Rattus norvegicus: one gene and its partner. The protein of the gene in region 2 interacts with the protein of the main gene of each other region in a pairwise test. Links are inferred from orthologs where the notes say so. Each region holds a gene or a part of one and is shown on either strand. Other genes may lie near its edges.

Region 1 (4,357 bases), on a different chromosome or scaffold from region 2:
CACACCTGCATGTTGTTCTCTGATCTTCAACCAGCAGCACCCTGCTAACAGTCTGCTGACTCCCCCTCCCTCTCTTGTTTTTTTGTTTTGTTTTTTAATTTATTTATTTTATGTATAGGAGTGCACTGCAGCCAGCTGTCTTCAGACACACCAGAAGAGAGCATCAAATCTCATTACAGATGTGATGGCTGGGAATTGAACTCAGGACCTCAAGGAAAGCAGTCAGTGTTCTTAACCACTGGGCCATCTCTCCAGCCCCTCCTTCTCACCCTCTATCTGGGTGTGGAGGCTTGCTCACATATGCCACTCATAGCCTGAGGCAGGAGGATTGATCCAAATTCAAAGCCAACCTGGGATTCATAAGCACACTCTGTCTAACAATGACAATGGGAAGCTTGGGGTATAGGTCAGCTGGTTACAGTACTTGCCTCGAATGTATTAAGCCCCTGGGTTCAATCCCCAATATCACATAAACTGGGTATGGTGGCACACACCGGTAATTCTAAAATTCAGATGATGGAGGCTGGGGGCGGTCAATGACATTCTAGGCTACTTATCATGTTAGAGGCTACCCTGGGATACATGAGCCCTTGTCTCAAAAGTGAGGTGGGGTGGGCATGGTAGAAATGGTTAAGTAGAGAAGAGTGCTAAGTGCAAAAGCATGAGAACCTGTGTTTACATTTGTAGCTACCATGTAAAAAGCCAGACATGGCTTTGTATGCCTGGAACTATAGCCTTAAGAAGGGTAGAAACAGGTGGGTCTCAAGAGCTAGCTATGCAGCCAGCCTTGTCAAAATGCCCTGTGCCTAGTTCACTGAGAGACCTTGTCTCAAAGCAATAAGGCAGAGGAGGAATAGAAGAAAAAACGTTGATGTTATCCTCTGGCCTCCAAATATGCAGGCATATTCAAATAGATACACACACTTCCATGCATATATTACACACATACACATACACACACACGAGAAGAAACAGTAACATGAGTCTCACACCTGTAATCCTAGGACTCTGTAGGTAGAAGTAGAAGGATCAAAAGTTCAAGGTCATCCTCAGCTATATAGCAAATCCAAGGCCAGCATGTGCTATAAAAGACTGTGACAAGAGAGAGAGAGAGAGAGAGAGAGAGAGAGAGAGAAATATGCAGCAGTAATATCGAACTTTGGTGTTCCTAGGATTTTTTTTTTTACTTTCATTGTGTTAGTGTTTTGTTTAATATTATGTGTATGGGTGTTTTGTCTGCATGTATTTCTATGAACACAAACACACCTGGTACCATCAGAAGAAGCCAGAAAAGTACCCTGGAACTGTAATTACAAACAGCTGTGAGCCACCATGTAGGTGCTTGGAATCAAAACCCCAATCCTCCTGAAGAGCAGCCAGTACTCGTAACCACTGAGCCATCCAACTCCCCATATTTTTTTTTAAGACAAGGTCTCCCTTTGATATAAAGTTTATGAAGTCCTAGCTAACCTAAAACTTACTCTGTAGATCAGGCTGACCTCAAGCTGACAGATCTGCTTGCCTCTACCTCCTGAATGCTAGGATTGAAGGCATACACCACTATGCCCTGCCACATGTCTCTATAATTTCATTTGGATGACCACAGGCCCTAGAAAAGTTTCTACAGTCATTGAGGCAAAAAAATTAGTAATATTGGTGTTTCCCTTCAAAACTCAACATCTATAACTTGAGTTCTTAGAAACATTAGCCCTGCTCTCAACTTTAGAGAAAGAATTCCAGTTTACTATGTTGAGCTGGCATTGAACAGAAATTAGCCACATTGGCCTCAACAGGATATATAATGTATATATTATATAATATATAATATATATATATATATATATATATATATATATATATATATATATCCTTACAAACAGAGAAGAAAAATCCCAAAGAGTTAAAGACAATACAAGTGGGAGTAGTGGTGTACAAAGATCAGGAGTTCAGGACCAGCCTCTATTACAGAACAAGTTCAAGACCACCCGATGCTCCATAAGACTTCCTCTCAATAAATAAATAAATAAAATTTAAAAGGTTGCGGGGGAGTGGGGAGATGGCTTAGTACATAAAGCACCTTCTGTGCATATGTAAGGATCTGAGTTCAGATCCCCAGCATCCAGATAAAAGCTGGGCACACTATAACCCCAGCGCTGGGGAAACAGGGACAAACAGATACACAGGGCTCACTGTCCAGCCAGCCTCAGCTCAGAAGGGAGATCCAAGTTCAGTAAAAGACATTGTCTGAGATAGGCTGAGTGTGGTGGTGAACACCTTTAACCTTAAGTACTTGGATGGCAGGGTCAGGAAGATCCATCAGATCAAGGCCAGCCTGGTCTACATAGAGAGTTCTAGGAAAAAATAGCAAACGGGAAGTATTTAGGAAGACACCCAATATGTCTATCTCTGTCCTCCACAGATGCTCTCTTACATGGACGCACACACTTACACACGCTGTACACATACATACATATACACATACATACATACATACATACATACATACATACATACACACACAAACATACAAACATGCTCACATACACGGATGTGTGCATTCCACCTCTGAACTCCCTCCAACCATGGTCCTAAGTGGCCTGTTTCCCTGAACACCTGCTGGAATCTCTACCCTACCTTAATTTATTCAGAAAGCATCACAGATCCATCTTTGTGTCAAACTATACCAAGCCCAGAAAACATGGACGAGTGAGAATAAAATCTCCTCTCTCTCGCTCTCTCGCTCTCTCGCTCTCTTGCTCTCTCTCGCTCTCTCGTTCTCACTCTCTCTCCCCCACCCACCCCCTCTCTCTCTCTTCCTGGTCCACTCAGCCTCTCCTGCAAAGACTCACCTTTGGAAAGAAGAAATGGGGGCTCTCCTGGATGCCCAGGTCCTGGATGGTGTCATCAGACAGCAGAGGCTAGAGGAAATAGGTCCCCTCACATGGGGTGACTTTAAGCCTGAGCTGAGAGTGATGTCATCTATTGTGGCCTGGATCTCGAAGGGTAATCCCAGGGAAGGTGGGGGACCGACTGGGCAACAGGAGGTGACATTGGCTGGGGGAAGGGCACCGTCTGCTTAATCCACCGCCACCACCCCCACAGTGACATCTTGGCAATTAGGGTTGATGAGGAAGGGAGGGAAGGAAGGCCCAACTCCTGCCGGCAACCAGGAGTCCCCACTCCTGGGGAAGTCTTTCCTTAGGTCTAACTGGTGTCCCTCCAGCATCAGCTATTATCTGGAAAGAAATGTCTTCAAAAGCACCGAGAAATGTGTACAGTGCTCCTGAGAGACTGGGAAGAGAAAGGCACAGGGCTTTCCGGGTTGTTCTTTGTGGCCCACGCTAGCGTTGAACTTGTAAATCTCCTGACACAGCCAGAATAACTGGGAAGAGATCTGTACTCTGGATGAGTGAACTAGTTCACATGTGTAGTTCCTGATGGTTCTCCTTCTTTTGACCTCAGGCTCTCTTTCTCTGTGTTCTCCATCTCTCTCCCTCCTTCCTCCCCTCCCTCAGTTTCCAACTCCATCTCTCTATATCTCTGCAGTCTCTCCACTGCTCTCTTTGTATCTTCTCAATTGCCTCTAATCTCTGCCTCTGTATCTTCATCACTAGCTCAGACCCTGTCTCTCAGAGTTTCTTTGTGTCTCTGTCTATGCCTCTCCCTGGGTTTCTATGTCTCTGTTAGACTCTCTGTCTCTAAATCTCTCTCTGGCTGTCTCTGTCAATCTCCACCTGTGTCTCTGCTAGACTCTAATCCTTGTCTCTGGCTGTCTCTCTGAAACTCTGCTTCTGGTTCTTGTCCTCCCTGTCTCTCTTCCTCTCTTTTTATCTCTGAGTGTTTCTGTGTGTCTGACTCTGTCTCTCTGTGTCTATTTTGTTTAGATTTGGGTTTTGTTGTTGTTGTTTTGCTTTTTTTTTTTTTCCGGAGCTGGGGACCGAACCCAGGGCCTTGCGCTTGCTAGGCAAGTGCTCTACCACTGAGCTAAATCCCCAGCCCCGATTTATTTACTTTTTATATATGAGTACATTGTAGCTGTCTTCAGACACCAGAAGAGGGCATCAGATCCCATTACAGATGGTTGTGAGCCACCATGTGGTTGCTGGGATTTGAACTCAGGACCTCTGGAAGAGCAGTCAGTGCTCTTAACCACTGAGCCATCTCTCCAGCCCGTTGTTTTGCTTTTTATTGGATATTTTTTATTTACATTTCAAATGTTATTCCCTCTCTCGGTTTCCCATCCATAAGCCCTCTATCCCATCTCCCTCCCCTTCTTGTGTAAGGGTGTTCCTTCTCCCCAATCACCTCCCCTTCCTGCCTCCCCACTCTGACATTCCTCTACACTCAGGGGATCCAG
Region 2 (4,426 bases):
TGGCCAACTCCAAGACACCTTAACCCTAACAACCGGACAAACAGATTTGCGAGAGTAGAACTGACACACTGTGGTGGGTTGTTTGGAAGGCTAGGGATACAAAGCAGAACGCTGCGCATGCCAGGCGAGCTTGCTACCCCTGAGCTATCCGCCCACTCTTATTAATGCCCATAAATTATGAAACACATACACATTTGCCCCCGACCAACTAAAATATGTTTGGCTCTTTAATTGTTCTCTTTTTATCTCGCACAAAGAATTCAAGAGAAAAAAATATCATCATTAGTATCATTGAGATGCATATTCGGGTGGAGAATTACTGATTTTTCTGACAAGCCTATGAATAAGGAAAAAAAAAACCCTATAACATAATAAAGTGAAAGGCCAGAGACTTGAATTCGAGTCTTGAAAAAAGTGTGGTTATGTGGCCTGTGGGCAAATCTCACATGCGGTCTATGAAGCTTGGAAGCGACAGAATTCATCATTCGCAGCCTTTTCTGTTCAAGATGATATCCTGGTAGACCCGAGGATCTCAATGCTGGGCAGAGAATGTTGGGAAGTGGAGGGTCTAAGCTGCCTATACAAGCCACCACCCAAGTGACTGTTGTTAAGTCACCTGCCCTGTCTCTGCTTCCTCCTTAAGGTCTGACAGAAGCCTGATACTGGATGATCAGTCAGGTCCAGCTTCCCCCACTCAACTTTATCCACCCAGATATCCAGAGTCATCCCCAGCAGAACTGTGCATCCCCAAGTGTTCTATCACTCTGGGTTTGTCGTTTTAGTTTATGAGTGCCTGCTCATGAAGCTGCCAGAAGAGGATGAAAACGTGCCAGAAGGGTATGCCTGAAGCTACTGTCAACTTCCTCAGTATGACTAAAAGAGTCAAAGTAATAATTTCAGTTACAAGTTTATAACTTACCTAATACCTAAAATCAGTTCAAATTCCCAATGTCACTCATTTCCTGGGGATTAATACTGTATGTAATTTCTCATGGCAGCCCACAGACACACAAAGCATGCCCAACACCAGGTGACCAACTATGATACAGTTGACATTTGGGCTTGATCAGTCTTTCACGTAGGTGGCTGTGAGCTTAGGAATGTTTAGCAACATCCTTGGACGGGCCACTAGATGTCTGTACTGACAGGACTTCTACAAGAGGTGGCCATTCAAAGATGTCTCTAGATGCTTTACTAGATAAGGGTCCCTGATGTAAAAATCTCTAGGAGGTAAGTACCACCACCACCTCAGTAGAGAACAACCGAGTTCGAGGATTTAAAGAACTCTTGGCTTTACTAAGTTTACAATGACCCCTTTATCCGCAGTCTAAAAGCCATCTCCAGTAAACTGGACAACGCTGTTCTTGGATATAAGCAAAAGACCTACAAAGCTTCCCCTCACAGGTCTACACTGAGTAAGGCAAACTCGTCATAGGAGGCTACTTCTCTACCAACACCAGGAATGTGTGGGAGCACGCACAGAGGTCCAAGGAAGCAGAATGTGAGATAGGCAGGTGGAGGTTCCTGGAGCAAGCGATCCTTTAGGTAAGAAGAGGTGACCACCTCGCGGGCAACCGGTCACCAACTCAGAGCTGGGCCGCCGCTGGGCCTCCGGGTGCCGGTGCCCGCGCCGGGCTCCCGCCACGCCCACCGAACGTCACCCGTTACACAACGCCCCCCCACCCAGCTTATGCAATTCTGCCCTCCCGCGGCTTCTAATTGCCCCGGTGACTTTAGTGCATGACCAAGGTAGACGCGGTACCCCCAAGCCCCGCCAAGCCCGGGGATGCTCGCCCCACCCCGGCTGGGGTTCCCAGCCAGCTCACAGAGGGAAGCCTGTGGCCCCCACCCACCCCGCGCCCAAGCTCCGCCGCCCCAGGTCCCCGCTCGGCGCGCGCACGAGGGAACCTCGCATCCGCGCCCCTCCCTGCGCCGCGTCACTTGAGGCTCCCAGGCGATCCCCACCGTGACCGAAGCACCCCGGGGCGCCGCCCCCTCCCACACTCGCAATCCCCGCTCGCCAGTCCCGCACCGCAGCCCCGCATCACCTGCTCGCAGAGCGTCGCAGGCGGCGGCCAGGGCCTCCCGGTAGCGTCCTTCGTGTAGTAGCTCCCCGAGGCGGCCGGCCGCCCGCGCGCGCTCGCGCTGGCCCGGGAACCACTTCTCCGCCAGGTGGTTGAGCACGACGCTGGTTCGGAAGTCGGCGATGGCGGCGGCCAGGGGCGGCGGCCGCGGGGTCCCCTCGGAGGCGGCGGCGGCGGGTGGCAGACGGTCCCGGCACAGGCGGCAGCGGGCGCGCAGTTCCCTCCGTAGGCAACGGCGACAGTAGCTGTGGCCGCACGGCACGGTCACCGGCTCACTTAGGAAGCCCCGGCAGCCCAGGCAGCTGAGCAGCCCGGCCGCGCCCGCGGCGGGTGCCGCGCTCCAGCGCAGCCCGTGACGGAGCCGGTAGCTGAACACCAGGCAGTCCACTAGCGAACCGAGGCGCTCGGGCCTGGCCGGGGCCCCGCGGCGCAGCGCAGCCGCGAACGCCTCCAGCGCTCCCTTCAGGTGGCCGCCCAGCGCCAGCAGCTCGCCGCGGCGGAGCAGAAGCTCCCAGCGCCCCGGCTCCGCGCCCGCGCGCTCCAACCGCTCGCCGCCGCCCACTTCCCACGGCCCGTTCCGGCTCCGCGGTCCGCCGGCCGTCTCCCGATTCCCGCCCGGGGACGCCCTCGCCACGGCCGGAGAAGACATGGCCCGCGCAGGGCTGCTCCTCCGTCGCCGCCCGCCGCCACGGTCCGGGAACCTCCGGGGCGCGCGGCTCCGCACGCGGCCGGCGAGCAGGGGGGCGTGGCGCGCGGACATGGCGGGGCGGCGCGCGCCCGGGGAGCCCCTAGGGGCGGGGCCTGGGGAGAGGGGCGGAGCTTAGCGAGACGGAGAGGGGCGGGCCTTGGCTTCCGCGCCCGGCCTCCCGACACGCGGCCGGCCGCCCAGTACCGGAGAGCTGGCCGGCCTGTCCCACCCTTTCTGAGCCCCTCCTGGTGAGGGACGCGAGATCAGATGATCCCCAGCGGGGATCTAATTGGCTTCTCTGACAAGGAGGCTTGGCTCCTGACTGAACAAAGCCTGAAGTCTCCCAGGCGGCCTGCGAGCTGACACCTCTTGTAATCGTGGCTGGTCCCCAGGCCTATAGTGGGTGCTATGCTGTTCGTGTGGGCACCAGCAGTGCTGTGACCCCAAACCTGCCGCACATGAGTAGATACTTAGACCCCTCCTGGCCGTAGATGGAAGCCTTGGGTGGGTCTGGATGCCCAGGGTTTCTGCTGGCCAGAACAAGTAGAGGGACTGCGAATGCACATGCACGGTGTGATTACTTTGAGACTCAAATCTGAAATCGGCCAACTCTAGACACACATATTTCATGTTACTGAGACCACTTCCTCCCAGCACGCAAGAGTTTTTCTTGGTGCTTGGTTAGTGCTGACTTGTGATGAAGTTTATTAAGAGAAAATGACAGAAACGAACTGTCCAAAAGAAACCCAATACTTTGTGAGCGATTTGTAAACTTTAATTTTAAAAGTGCAATACACCAAAAAACATTAAACTATTAAATAAACCACATGTACACTTAGAGAGTGAAAGTCCCCATGTCCTCAGGTGTGCTCCACATCCTTCATACACACTAACCCACAGTTGCTTAAAGTTTTTTAAATGAGAAAACAGGAGAAAAACATTTTCGCTGTGGCAGAAACCAGATCACCACGATGCAAGCGTTCTGCAGCTTGGTCGATTGAAGATAGTTTGGCTCATATGTAATGGGTTCTAGTTCCTCTAAATGTGAAAGCATCAGGTATCTCAATGGAAATATTTATAGACTTGATTACAGAGTACTGGGTTGGTAATGTAGGAAGAGATTTAAGGCTTCTTTTTCAAATACTTGATAACAGGAAATAATTCAGTCTGAAATCATACAGTCAGTATTGAAAAGATTTTAAGATCTCACAGTGATAGTATCATATATATATATATATATATAATGTTTAATAAAATTATCTTCAAATATTTTTAACCAGAGATCTTCAAATAAAGCAATTGGATGGAATGTCAAAGGTCATGCTGTCTAAAATTGTCTAACAATTAATTGTTCCTGCTTACACAGAATAGGTAATAACAGTTCAAAAGTGTCTTTATACTAAACAATGAGCAAACTTTCCTCAGAAAAGAAAGGGGGACAGGAACAAAGAGAGAGAGCAAGAAGAGTTAACTTAAATACAAAAACAAAATCCCAGGTTCCTGTTCCAGCAGTAATGCAGAGACTGTCTCTGAAGCAAGCTGCAGCGAGACAAGGAGCACTTCATCACATCTGGAGTGGGGAACGTGGGGAATTGTTCATGAGCAGAACCTTACGTCTCAGTTACATGGGCAATGGTGTTTACCTGTTCCTGTA

Evidence for each region.
Region 1: the proteins of Lonrf1 (region 2) and Crx interact in binary tests that used the Homo sapiens proteins (3 or more experiments, as listed by UniProt). The two-hybrid records come from large-scale screens. The link is inferred for Rattus norvegicus from reciprocal best matches to the Homo sapiens genes LONRF1 and CRX.

The regions. Positions count from the first base shown.
Region 1 is NC_086019.1:85,678,940-85,683,296, forward strand, and holds the start of Crx (cone-rod homeobox protein), read right to left. Parts: upstream 2,914-4,357; 5' UTR 2,850-2,913; intron 1-2,849. UniProt on the Homo sapiens protein: Transcription factor that binds and transactivates the sequence 5'-TAATC[CA]-3' which is found upstream of several photoreceptor-specific genes, including the opsin genes.
Region 2 is NC_086034.1:62,686,363-62,690,788, reverse strand, and holds the start of Lonrf1 (LON peptidase N-terminal domain and RING finger protein 1), read right to left. Parts: upstream 2,859-4,426; 5' UTR 2,845-2,858; coding exon 2,049-2,844; intron 1-2,048.